Linked DNA regions of Diceros bicornis minor. The protein of the gene in region 2 binds, or shares a complex with, the protein of the main gene of each other region. Links are inferred from orthologs where the notes say so. Each region holds a gene or a part of one and is shown on either strand. Other genes may lie near its edges. The genes, in order: ITGB6, TGFB1 and TGFBR2.

Region 1 (3,745 bases), on a different chromosome or scaffold from region 2:
TGCTCTAAGCAGAAGCCTGATTTACTTTTTGCTCCAACTGCCTCAACTGATATAACTACTTCTATTAGGGTGAACTATTTTTTTTTTTTTTTTTTTTTTTGTGAGGAGGATCAGCCCTGAGCTAACATCTGCCAATCCTCCTCTTTTTGCTGAGGAAGACTGGCCCTGGGCTAACATCCATGCCCATTTTCCTCCACTTTATATGGGATGCCGCCAGAGCATGGCTTGACAAGCGGTGCGTCAGTGCGTGCCCGGGATCCTAACCGGCGAACCCCGGGCCACCGCAGTTGAGCGCGCGCACTTAACCACTTGCGCCACTGGGTCAGCCCCTATTAGGGTGCCCTTTTAGAATAATCCAGCCTTAAAATTTGACAATAACTTGGCTACCAAGTATCATCTACAAGTCAAGCTATCACTAGTAACCTAAGAAGCCCTCTTAAATGAGTGCTAAAATATGTATTTAAAAAAGAATTCTAGAGGTGGGCATTTTGTTACACAGATCTGTTATCTTATGTCTCAAGTATGAACCTAATACTGTCTTCTTCAAGGAGTCAATGTCAAAAAAATGTGGGTTTTTCCCTCTTTGTCTATTCTCAAACCTGCTTTTGATACTTGAGCTCAAAAAAGGATAATTCCCTCACACTTTTATTTGTACCCCATCAGTCAACACAATAGTGGGGGAGTGAGTGGGGTGTGTGTTCTGTTGTCTGTGAGGCCTTTCTCCATGGATGCACATTCCACTTGGAATTTGAGTTTTAATAGTTATAGCCTGGTCCTGCATCAAGCGTCCAGGTTTGTTCCTCTTTGAGCATCCTACTCAGTTCTTGCTGAACCTGGCATTTGTATGCTTTGGTTTGTGTTTAGATTCTCTTCATGAGATTCAGCAGAGAACTGTTTTAAATCCAGAGAGAGCTAAGGCAGCTCTTTTTTGCCAAGAATCATTTACAGATTGCACTATAGTGTCACAGGAGGCAGTGACTCAGGATGGCTTGTTATATAGTCCCCAACCCCCTTATACTACTTTCACATAGTTTTGGGTTTAATCAGATAAGGAATGTCTGTTTCAGGCTTTGTCGTTGTTGTTGAACAGAGTCATCAAGCTCATGAAAAAGTAATTTTTAAAAGAATTGGATAATGTCTGAACGGTAAAGTTTACCCCAAACCCAGAACACTTTTCTTGGAACCTAGCAGTGGTTCAGAATGGATCCTGGTGCCCAAGTGGACTATAACTATGATACTGAAGACGAACGTATGTTTAACTTTAGAAAATATCATCTCCATGATCTCTGATTACTCAGAGCCTCAGCATTTTACATGTAACCAGTTAGAAATGGCTTTAAAATAAGAGGAGGAATCAGGTTAAACAAAGGATCTTGAGTTAAGTATTTTTCAGAATAATTTGACATTCCCTCCCTCCACAAATTGCTTTTGAAAGTAATCACATGAATAATGCTTTGATCTACTAATGCTTACATTTTCCCCTCCTGATTTGTTTCACTCCTATAACCCCACAGAAAGCAGGACAAATCAGAACCATCACTGATGGAATTAACAGACGTGTAACTGCAGTTTTTATAAACATGTTGAGGTCATTGGTTTTACCTCCTGAGAACACCAGGCACACTGAGGTCCAATGAGTAAGCAGTCTTCACAGGTTTCTGCACCTCCCACAGCACAGCCACCTATGTTTAAATCCAGCAAGACACAAGGGATTCAGCACACTCTCAGTCACTCCATTTACGAGCCTTATGGCTTTTAAAGTACTTGAACAAAACAATATCAAAATTTATTTTAGTCTTCAATGATCAGTCCTCAAAATGTTAGCAATTCGTAAGAAAGTTCATATTTTACATTCATCACATTGAAAATATGTATGTCTTATTAGCCAAAAATGATCATTCTCTTTTTTCTCAAAATATGAAAAGATCTTAATGTTCACAAATATAGCATAATCCTATTTATTATCCTCATTCGACATCATCCACTTTAATTTTTTAAAATCATTTGCATGCATTAAAAAATGCTTCTCTCTTAATTGTACTCTATTTTTATTTTTAAAATAAATCCTTTTTCTCTCTCAAGATTATTGCTCTTAAGTGGAAGACCTTGTTGTACAATAAAATATCTAGAAAAGTTACCAAAATGGTTGTCATAAAAATATTAAGAAGTCTCATTGTACAGTAATGCTGTTTAATTCTCCTCATTAAAATGCCCATGCAACCTTTGTGTTTATTTACCTTAAGCCCAGAGCGTTCTCTGTGGGAACAGCCCTGAGTCTGCCTGTAATTCGTTAGTGTTCGCTCAGTGGCAAAAGAGCAATTGAACAGATCAAAGAAAAAACGACTTCAGATTTAGTTCTGAACCAAATGACAGGTTTGTCAAACATACCACGAAAGCAATATATCGGAGAATTTAGTTCTTACCTTGAACGTGATCATTCCTTCCTAGAAATAGAAAGAACAGGCAAAGCAGTTCAATCCCCATTCGTTTCAGTTCTCGCTGTGCAGACAGATTAAAAAATGAATTACCTTCAACATTACCAGGTCAAAGCTGAACATCGTTAAAAGTCTTTCTTTCTTGAAGTGTAAAATTTTAAATACTACTTACACTGCTTTGAAAAGAAACTTGAGATGTAAATAAAAACGTTTTCATTAAGACTGAAATGAAAACAGAGGCTACCTGGACAGGTAAAGAAGAAAAGCTGTGTTTAAAAGCAACTTCAACATGATTTACTTCCTTGTTCTCCTTATAAGGAAGGCAGGTGTACGATCACCAAGAAGGTGGGGAAATTCATTCAGTAGAAATTTTTGTGTAAATTCTATTAGTGTCTCTGCATCCTAGAGAAAGTTAATAGCTTTAGTGAAATATTGATCAGTAAAATGTCAGAAGAGCAATTGAAATATGATCTAAAGTTGTTTCTAAAATAATTTTAATTTAATGAAAACAGTAAAGATGATAAATAAAACACAAGTATATAATATAGTTATATATAACAAGGGTTTTAAAAAATGAACTAAAGGAAAATACCTGAGATTTTTGTATTCCATTGTTAAATCCTTTGCAGAGAATTGAAATGAACTCTGAAAAATAAAAATCATTATTTTACAGTCAAATTAGAAGGCACGTTAGGGAAAGTAAAACACTGTGTTTCCTGGTTTTTCAAATTGGATGAAAGATATTTTTCCATAAGTATAGAATTCTTAATTAAAAAGTGATATTGGAAATAAATATATGGAAATTAAATTAGCAAAAATTAGATTGTCTCAAAACAACCACAATGGCAGCAGAAACAGTAGTGCCCAGGATTCTGAATCCCTCTGGCAAGGGAACAAGTGCTTTTTCTCCTGTGCTGTCCCAGCTTCTAGCTCACCTCTTGGCACATAGGACGTATTTATTTGTTGAATGAAAGACTGACAAATTTAAAATATATACACTTTATGGCTAAACTCGTAAGGTTGATTATATATTTTTCTCCAATGTATTGAGGAAGGTGTTTTGGGATTTGTAGAAACTGCGAACAGGTAAGAATGAAATATACAGTTCTCTAAACCCTATAAACTATCTGACCTTAAACAGGCTTCTTTGTGGCTGGGCTTACATCCCGGGAGATTATCTTTTAAAGGTGTATTTCAAGACAAGCATGTGAAACCTGTGAAGAGAGGAAAACTAGTTATAGACTGCTCAGGTTCTTCTCAGAAGGCTATGTTCAATTTTGAACTCCATCATACACAAGAACCTGAAAGAA
Region 2 (3,745 bases):
CCTGCATGAACTGGGTCACCTGCTTTAGGCCTCAGCAGTGGGGGTGCCGAAATGGTGGAGACAGGATCTGATGAGAAAGAATGGAGGAAACCCCTTCTGTGGGCCCCATTCTCCTCCTCCCCCCCACTCTAGCCAGGCCAGCCCCCACCCCTCACAAATAAGCCCTATCTTGGCCCAGGGGTTACTCAGCAACCCCCAAAGGAAGGATAGAGCCCAGCCGGGGAGACAGATAGGCAGGAAAAGAGAAAGGAGGAGCAGAAATGGTCAGAGGGAGAGATGGAGAGACCACAGAGACAGGGAGAGGAGAGGAATTGGGTATGGAGGAGAAAAAGAGAGAGAGAGAGAGGGAAGAGATGGAGAGACACAGACTGGGAGACCCATACAGGGACAGACAGAGTAATGGGGATGCAAAGAGATGAGAGACAGACACACACGGGAAGAGAGACACAGGGTTTGCGGGCGAGATGGAGACAGTCCGGGAGGACAGAAGGCGATCGAAGGTACTATCAGTGTTAGAGAAATCCCTACAACGAAGGTGAAGCGACGACGGAAAAGAAGGTGAGACCGAGATGTGTGTGGGGAGCAGCGTCATTTGGCTGGAGCCGCAAACTAAGCGCACGAATGGGTCAGGGACCCACAAGTCCACCGCCCAAGAGAGAAAATGAAAGCAGGGGGACCGCCCCCCAACCTCCCGCCCACCGGGACGCCTGGGTCCCCGCTAGGGCGCCGAAAGGGCGGGCCCAGCGGTAGCTCCGCCCCGAGCCGGGGTGCAGAGGGCGGGAGGCGCCGCCGCCGCGAAGGCGGGGACCCGACCTGCCTCGTCTCGCCCCAGGCTCCGCGCGCGATCCCCGCCCCCCCGGGGCACGGGAAGGAAAGGGAGGGAGGGAGGGCGAGGTGGCCGGACGCTGGGGTTTCCCCAGCCTCCCAGAGAGGAACTGGGAGTTTGGGGTCCAGGTTCTCAGCCTTTGGCTCTGCGGGGTCCTCCTCCCTCCTTCCGGAAGCGCAGGCTCCTCCCCCCGCGCGTGGCACCCACGTGGGGCTTCTTCACCCCTACCAGCTCAGTTTCCTCACCCCGATCTTGTAGAGTCGTACCCACCCACTTCTCCCCCTACGGCTCGACTCCTCACTGAGCTCACTTCTTTCCATACGGCGGCATAGGGGGGGCTCGCTGCTCCCAGCACGGCACCGTCTCTCTCTCCTCCGCCCCCCTCCCGGGTCCACCTTTCCCACGCTTGTCTCCCCTCTCTGTAAACCCCTTCCCACGACCCAGTATTCTAGGTTCCCCGGGGGCTCGCTTCCTCTGCTGGGCTTCCTCTCACGTCCCCATGCGAAATACTGAGGGCACCTCCCCGCGCATCCCCGGCACCCTCCGGGGTCTCCGCTTCTCTCCCACTAGCTTTCCCCTCCCTACGACCTCGCGTCCCTTTCTTCCCCGAATTTACACCCTCCTCACCGTCTCTCTCTCTCTGGGCCCTCCCCCAATCCCGCGTGCTCCTTGCGCCCTCCACAAGCGGGTCCACTCTCCGCTTTCCTGACACCTCCGGGATTCGCTTCACCCAGCTTTTCTGTCCTTCTTGAACCTCCCCGCCTCACGACCCCTGAGCTCTGGGTCAGCTTTCCGCACTGCCTCTCCTTTCCCAAATGCTGGGATCTTCCCGTCTCCCAAACAGGGCTCCCACTCTGCAGCCCCCCACCCCACGACCCCCGCATTCTAGTGCACCCTGGAGGGAGAAGTCTTTTTCTATTCCTCCCCCGAATTGCTTCTCTCTCTCTAGGGGACTTCCCCCACGATCCCGCATGTTCCTGTCGCCCTCTAGAAGCGGTCCACTTGGCTCACTATCTCCTCTTCTTCAAGACCAGATACCTGGTGGGGTAAGGAGCTCAGCCCTATCCTGTTTGGGATCTCCCTCCCACGTTCCTGGCGCCCCCGGGGGTCCTCTTCCTCCAGCCAGTTTTCTCCGCCAGTATTTTCCTCCCCATGACCCCCGCACTCCGGCGCCCCCTGGGGGCTCCCCTCCAGGGTCCCCTGCCCCTCTGAGCTCACCCTTGCTTGTTTCCACCATTAGCACGCGGGTGACCTCCTTGGCGTAGTAGTCCGCCTCGGGCTCGGGCTCCGTCTCGGCGCTCTCCCCGGCCACCCGGTCGCGGGTACTGTTGTAAAGGGCCAGCACGGCCTCGGGCAGCGGGCCGGGCGGAACCTCCCCCTGGCTCGGGGGGGTGGCGAGCCGAAGCTTGGACAGGATCTGGCCGCGGATTGCCTCGATGCGCTTCCGCTTCACCAGCTCCATGTCGATGGTCTTGCAGGTGGACAGTCCGGCGGCTGGCCGGCCAGGCGTCAGCACTAGTAGCCACAGCAGCGGCAGCAGCAGCGGCAGCAGCCGCAGCCCGGAGGGCGGCATGGGGGAGGCGGCGCCCCCCGGCACTGCCGAGAGCGCGAGCCGGGCTGGGGTGGGAAGAGGGAGGCCCCACCCCTACAGGGGCTGGGGGGGCTCCCGAGGAAAGGTAGGAGGGTCTGGGGGGAAAAGTTGAGGCCCGCAGGGAGAACGGAGCGGCGGTGGAGGGGAGGCTCTGATGGGTGGTTTCTCGGTATCCCACCGAAGAAACCCAGATGGGCGAGATCTGGTACCAGAGGTGGGTGGTCCTGAATAGGGGAGCTGTGGCAGATCTGAGCGAGATCCCGTCTCCCGGATCCCGGAGAAGGGTCCTTGGGCGCGCAGGGGCTCAGGAGAGAGGCTGGGGAGAGGGCGTGCAGGGGGGTGCGCCCGAGGTCTGGGTCAGGTCTTCTTGGGAGTCGGGTTTGCGGCTCCTGAGGGCTGGTCCGGAATGAGGGCGCCTGGGGGACGCCGTGTAGGGGCCAGAGAGGGAGCAAGAGTCCGAGGCGGTGGGGGGGCGGTCTGGGGTCCCCAAGTCCTGCCTCCTCGCAGGGCAGCGCCGCGCCAAGCGGTCCCCGCGCCTCCAGCTCCCAGCGGCAGCGGAAAAGTCTCAAAACTTTTTTTCCTCTTCTCCCAACCAGCTCGTCCCTCCTCCCGCTCCTCCTCCCCCTCCTCCTCGCAGTGGCGGCGGCGGCGGCGGGGGCGGCGGCGGCTGGTCTCAGACTCTGGGGCCTCGGGCTGCTCCTCGGCGGCTCCTTCCTCCGCTCCGGGCCGAGGCCGGCCCCGTGGGCCGCTCCGAGCCGGGGGGTGCCCCGGAGGGGGCGTCCCCCCTGGCCCCGGCCGGGGGCCTCGCTGTCTGGCTGAGCCGCGGCGGGCGGAGACGGTGGGACGACCGGGGCGCGAAGGGCGGCGGCGGCGGCGGCGGGGACCGGCTGGGGCGGCGGGGGGTTTTGAAGCCGCCCCGGCCCCACCCAGGAAGCGCGCGGGGCGGGGGCGGCCCCCAGGGGGAGGGTATGGGGGGGCCGGGCCACCGTCCTCATCTCGCGTGGGCGGGCTCCGAGGGGGGTCCCTTAAGCCCTGGGGGGAGGGGGCGGGCACCCCGGCTCCGCCCCACAAACAGGGTGCTGCCTCCTGGCGGCCGAGCGCTACCAAAGCGCTCCCAACGACCGGGATGCGTGTAGCTTTGAGGACTGTGCGGGTCAGCGAGAAAATGAAGACCTGGCCTTAATCAGAGGATGGGGACACAGCGTACAGGGGATCAGAGAAGGGGGACCCCGGGCAGAGAGAGTGGGAGGCTGAGGCAGAGGGGACAGGGTCAGCCAGAAGACGGGGACCCACTGGGGAGAGGGGGACAGAGGAGGGGGACCCCCAAG
Region 3 (3,745 bases), on a different chromosome or scaffold from region 2:
AGAGACCAAATTCTGGGCCTAGTCTAGTCTCTGACTCTGACAAATCAAGCATATCTTTAACATGATTTTAAGAAAGAAGTTTATCCACATGACACTTTTACCAACGTTGAGTCATCAACAAGCATCTCTTGGTAGGTATTTGAAAAGCAAAAGTCACATTTTTCAGATCTGAAGAGTTTTCAGACATTGAAAGTTTTCCCCAAAAGAGTAATTACTTAATTTTGAGCATTTAGGAAGAGTGAATCTAAGTCAAAAACAAAACTTTAAAAAATTTTAAGTATATTTCTTAGTGAAGTTTGTTCTTAGACTGAGATCCTTTATCTGCTTGTCAATCTACTCCACAGAAGATGGATTTTTTTTTAGGTGACCTAATAGGAGGCTGTAAATAATCTCATTTCCTCATATCTTATCATGCATTAAGATATTTTGAAAAATGTTTTGACAGTGTACCAATTATGTTAGAAAAATTCTGAAACCATTTATTTACATGGAAAATTAAAATGCAATCATGGAATCAGGTTTCTCATCTTCATTATAGTTACCTTCAACTATCTTCAAAAATTTAATTTCAAATGAATACAAATTCAAATGATTCCTTAGTTCAACCATTTTGAAACTTTAATTCCACAAAACATAAAATTTGTGCATTTTGGAAAACTGTTTAAAAGCCCAAATAAAAAGCCCCTAAGCTTTTAAGTTAATTGTTTAAAAGTGTGTATGTAGATAAAATGAAACCGACTCATAAACTATTGAGTCTGGAATTTGCAAATCATAAATCTTATCCTTGTAAACAAAACCTAACAAAATCAGAGCCTGCTAATTTCCTTCTTTCGTAATCTGAAACAAAAGTTTTAGTGATTTTTAACATACACAGAAAATTGAGGGTGCCATTTAAAATATTTATTAGCAAAATATAACTCAATTTTTAAGAGTGTGGGGTATAATCAGAAGCAACTGAACATTCTAGTACTGCAGTATACAAAAACAGCCGAGAATGAAACACTGGGATTTGATTAAACAGTAGAACTCAAATTTATGTTAGGATTTTTTTGTTTACAATAAGTGCTTCTTCCTCATTCCATTAAAAACTCCCACCTCCATGGGACTTTGAATATAAAACATAATCTTAAAAAGTTCTCAATCCACTTCAAATACCCTGAAATGTACCATTTAGAACCTGGTGCATATTTTTTCTAGACAAACCTAAAGGAAAGCCTGTGCAGCCCTTGGTAAGTAAAAAGAGTGCCTCAGGGTGATGTGGACTGTCAAATCCAATACATTTCATCCCACATCCACACAGGGCATCTCCAAGTCACCAAAGGGGGAAGAGAGGGACATAAAATGATAAAGATGAAGGTAATGTAAAATTATCCAAATCTAACCGCGTCACTTTACAGATGAGCAAACTGAGGCCTGAGAAAGGTCCAAATACTCCGTTACCCACAGCCCAGCTGCAGATTCTCAATAATGTGGATCCTAGCTGCAAAAATTCTAACTCTTCAGGTCTCAGGGGTTCGATGCTTCTCATAACAAATCTTTAAGAACTCAATTCCTGCATTTTTCCCCCTCAAAAACCTCTAGAGATAGAGATCAGGTGGGCAGCGGATTTACGATTTTAACCCTTCCGTTTCCACCAAACGATTACTGCAGAGAACCGTCAACTCCCGGAAGGCAGGGTTGTCTTGCTCCAGGCACCATCTCCAGCACCTAGCACCCAGCACCCAGTAGGCACTCAGTAAACAACTCTCCGCCTTCCACCTGACAACCTCCACTCCCTACCCCATCCACGCCTAGCCGTCAGTGGAGCCGGATAACTTTCCTTTGGAAAGAGCTTCTTGTCTTGCAACTTTCCTACAGTAACTCCGGGCCAAGAAGCCGGCCTGGGGGAGTGTGTGGCCCTTCCCAGGGGCTAAGGATTGAGTAACTGGCCATTTAAGGGGGTGGCTCGGCCAGCCGGCGTGGGCACGCAGCATCGCCGCGGGGCGCGGTGGCCCAGGTGTGCCAGCTGCTCTGGCGGCCTCTGCGGCCGCCGCTCCGGGCCGCTGCTCCCCTGCCTCCTTCAGATAACCAACTTCTCAAACTTCCCTTTCCGGGGGTGGGGGCTCGCCTCGAACGCGGCCAACACAACGCCTTTCCTGCCCGCACAAAGGGGGCCAAACGTGCCCCGCGCCCCTTTCCACTTGAACTTTCCTTCTCTTTTTAAAGAAAAACTCACGTCCCTGCGGCCAAGGGAGTCGGGCTGCGTGGGTGCCGCGAGGGGAAACCGTCCCGTTTCCGCCCGAGCGCTGCGTTCCCGGGGCCGCCTGTCAAGCGCGGCGAAGGGGCGGGGAGCCCGGGAGACCCCCGGCGGCCCGCCAAGCCCCGGCTGGGGGCCACTCACCCGACTTCTGAACTTGCGGTGGGATCGTGCTGGCGATGCGCGTCCACAGGACGATGTGCAGCGGCCACAGGCCCCTGAGCAGCCCCCGACCCATGGCAGACCCCGCTGCTCGTCATAGACCGAGCCCCGAGCGCAGCGGACGGCGCCTTCCCGGACCCCTGGCTGCGCCTCCGCGCCGCGCCCTCTCGGGACCCCGCGCCGGGCCGGCCGGGCAGATGTGCGGGCCAGATGTGGCGCCGGCTTGCCAGCTGGGAGGGGGCCTGGAGGCCGGCGAGGCGCAGGGAGGCCCCCGGCGGCCGAGGGGAGCTGCGCAGGAGGCCGGCTCCTGCCCCGGGCGTGTGCGCGCGTGGGGGTGTCTTCGGTCGGTGCGCGCGAGTGACTCACTCAACTTCACCCGGGCGCTGCGGGGGAAACAGGAAACTCCTCGCCAACAGCTGGGCAGGACCTCTCGCCGCCGCAGAGCCTTCTCCCTCTGCTCGCTTCCAGCCCTCGCCCTCTCTCGTAGCTGCCAATCACGTCCCCTGGACCAGCCCCTCTGAGGGCTTTGGCAAACTTTCAGCTGCCCCTCACCGCTCTCAGGAGCTCCTCGCTCCAAGGATTTACTCCGGAGTGACTAAGTGCACACGTTTCAGAAAGTAACTGAACAGAGAAAGTGTATATCCTTTCCATAGCACCCCCACGAAGCATCTCCCCCGCCCCCAACCTTCTTGGGATTGTTCCTAGGTGCTTTAGAGTTGTATTTTCAAACTACAAGTCACGACCCGTGAGTGGATGCTGAAATCTAATGAGTTGTGAGCACATTTTTTCCCTAATAAAATAGTAAGAGTAAGGATTGCCTCAAACTTTTGTTTCGGTTATGTGTGCATACACTGTCACATTGTAAAAAGGTTTTCTTACTGTAGGTTGAAGTCCGGACGTTTTTTCTCAAACTTTCATGTGCATATTGATCATCTGAGAATCTTGTTAAAATGCGGATTCTGATTCAGTACATCTAGGATGCAGCATTTCTGATGAGCTCTTGGGTGGTGCCTCCCATTTTGACCTGCCTCTTCCTGGGGGTGATTAAGTGAGTAATTGTAAATGATCAGCCATTACAGAGTGATAATGGTGAGAAATCTTATCTTCAGAATGTATCAAGTACAGTAGAAAATGTAAAAATGAAAGTGGCCTGGGAGTCAGCTAAATACCAGTGTTTGCATTCCAGTAGTGCCCATGAAGAGAGAGAAAGCTTATCCTCTCCTCTGCTATAGGGGAAATAGTGGGAGGCGGACAGAATAAACTTTCAACTTTCTCTTCTTGCTAAGGTGACCAGGTTTGCCCAGAACTATACTGGTGTACATCTGTTTTGAAATTAATCATTATCCA

What was found.
Region 1: the proteins of TGFB1 (region 2) and ITGB6 are in contact, whole or in part, in a crystal structure (PDB 5FFO), measured with the Homo sapiens proteins. The link is inferred for Diceros bicornis minor from reciprocal best matches to the Homo sapiens genes TGFB1 and ITGB6. Residues at the interface, in NP_000651.3 of Homo sapiens: Pro70, Gly71, Pro72, Glu75, Leu158, Asn237, Gly245, Asp246, Leu247, Thr249, Ile250, His251, Met253, Asn254; in NP_000879.2 of Homo sapiens: Ser142, Ala143, Ser144, Asp146, Asp147, Pro196, Cys197, Ser199, Ile200, Pro201, Tyr202, Lys228, Lys231, Ile232, Ser233, Ala234, Asn235, Ile236, Asp237, Thr238, Glu240.
Region 3: the proteins of TGFB1 (region 2) and TGFBR2 are in contact, whole or in part, in a cryo-EM structure (PDB 9FKP), measured with the Homo sapiens proteins. The link is inferred for Diceros bicornis minor from reciprocal best matches to the Homo sapiens genes TGFB1 and TGFBR2. Residues at the interface, in NP_000651.3 of Homo sapiens: Arg303, Lys309, Trp310, His312, Tyr368, Tyr369, Val370, Gly371, Arg372, Lys373; in NP_003233.4 of Homo sapiens: Phe47, Leu50, Phe53, Asp55, Ser72, Ile73, Thr74, Ser75, Ile76, Cys77, Glu78, Val100, Asp141, Glu142.

The regions. Positions count from the first base shown.
Region 1 is NC_080749.1:42,771,780-42,775,524, forward strand, and holds the start of ITGB6 (integrin beta-6), read right to left. Parts: upstream 2,659-3,745; 5' UTR 2,653-2,658; coding exon 2,608-2,652; intron 2,500-2,607; coding exon 2,424-2,499; intron 1,683-2,423; coding exon 1,603-1,682; intron 1-1,602. UniProt on the Homo sapiens protein: Integrin alpha-V:beta-6 (ITGAV:ITGB6) is a receptor for fibronectin and cytotactin. It recognizes the sequence R-G-D in its ligands. Internalization of integrin alpha-V/beta-6 via clathrin-mediated endocytosis promotes carcinoma cell invasion.
Region 2 is NC_080773.1:15,351,736-15,355,480, forward strand, and holds the start of TGFB1 (transforming growth factor beta-1 proprotein), read right to left. Parts: upstream 2,413-3,745; 5' UTR 2,400-2,412; coding exon 2,045-2,399; intron 1-2,044. UniProt on the Homo sapiens protein: Transforming growth factor beta-1 proprotein: Precursor of the Latency-associated peptide (LAP) and Transforming growth factor beta-1 (TGF-beta-1) chains, which constitute the regulatory and active subunit of TGF-beta-1, respectively.
Region 3 is NC_080741.1:34,751,053-34,754,797, reverse strand, and holds the start of TGFBR2 (TGF-beta receptor type-2), read right to left. Parts: upstream 2,873-3,745; 5' UTR 2,475-2,872; coding exon 2,381-2,474; intron 1-2,380. UniProt on the Homo sapiens protein: Transmembrane serine/threonine kinase forming with the TGF-beta type I serine/threonine kinase receptor, TGFBR1, the non-promiscuous receptor for the TGF-beta cytokines TGFB1, TGFB2 and TGFB3.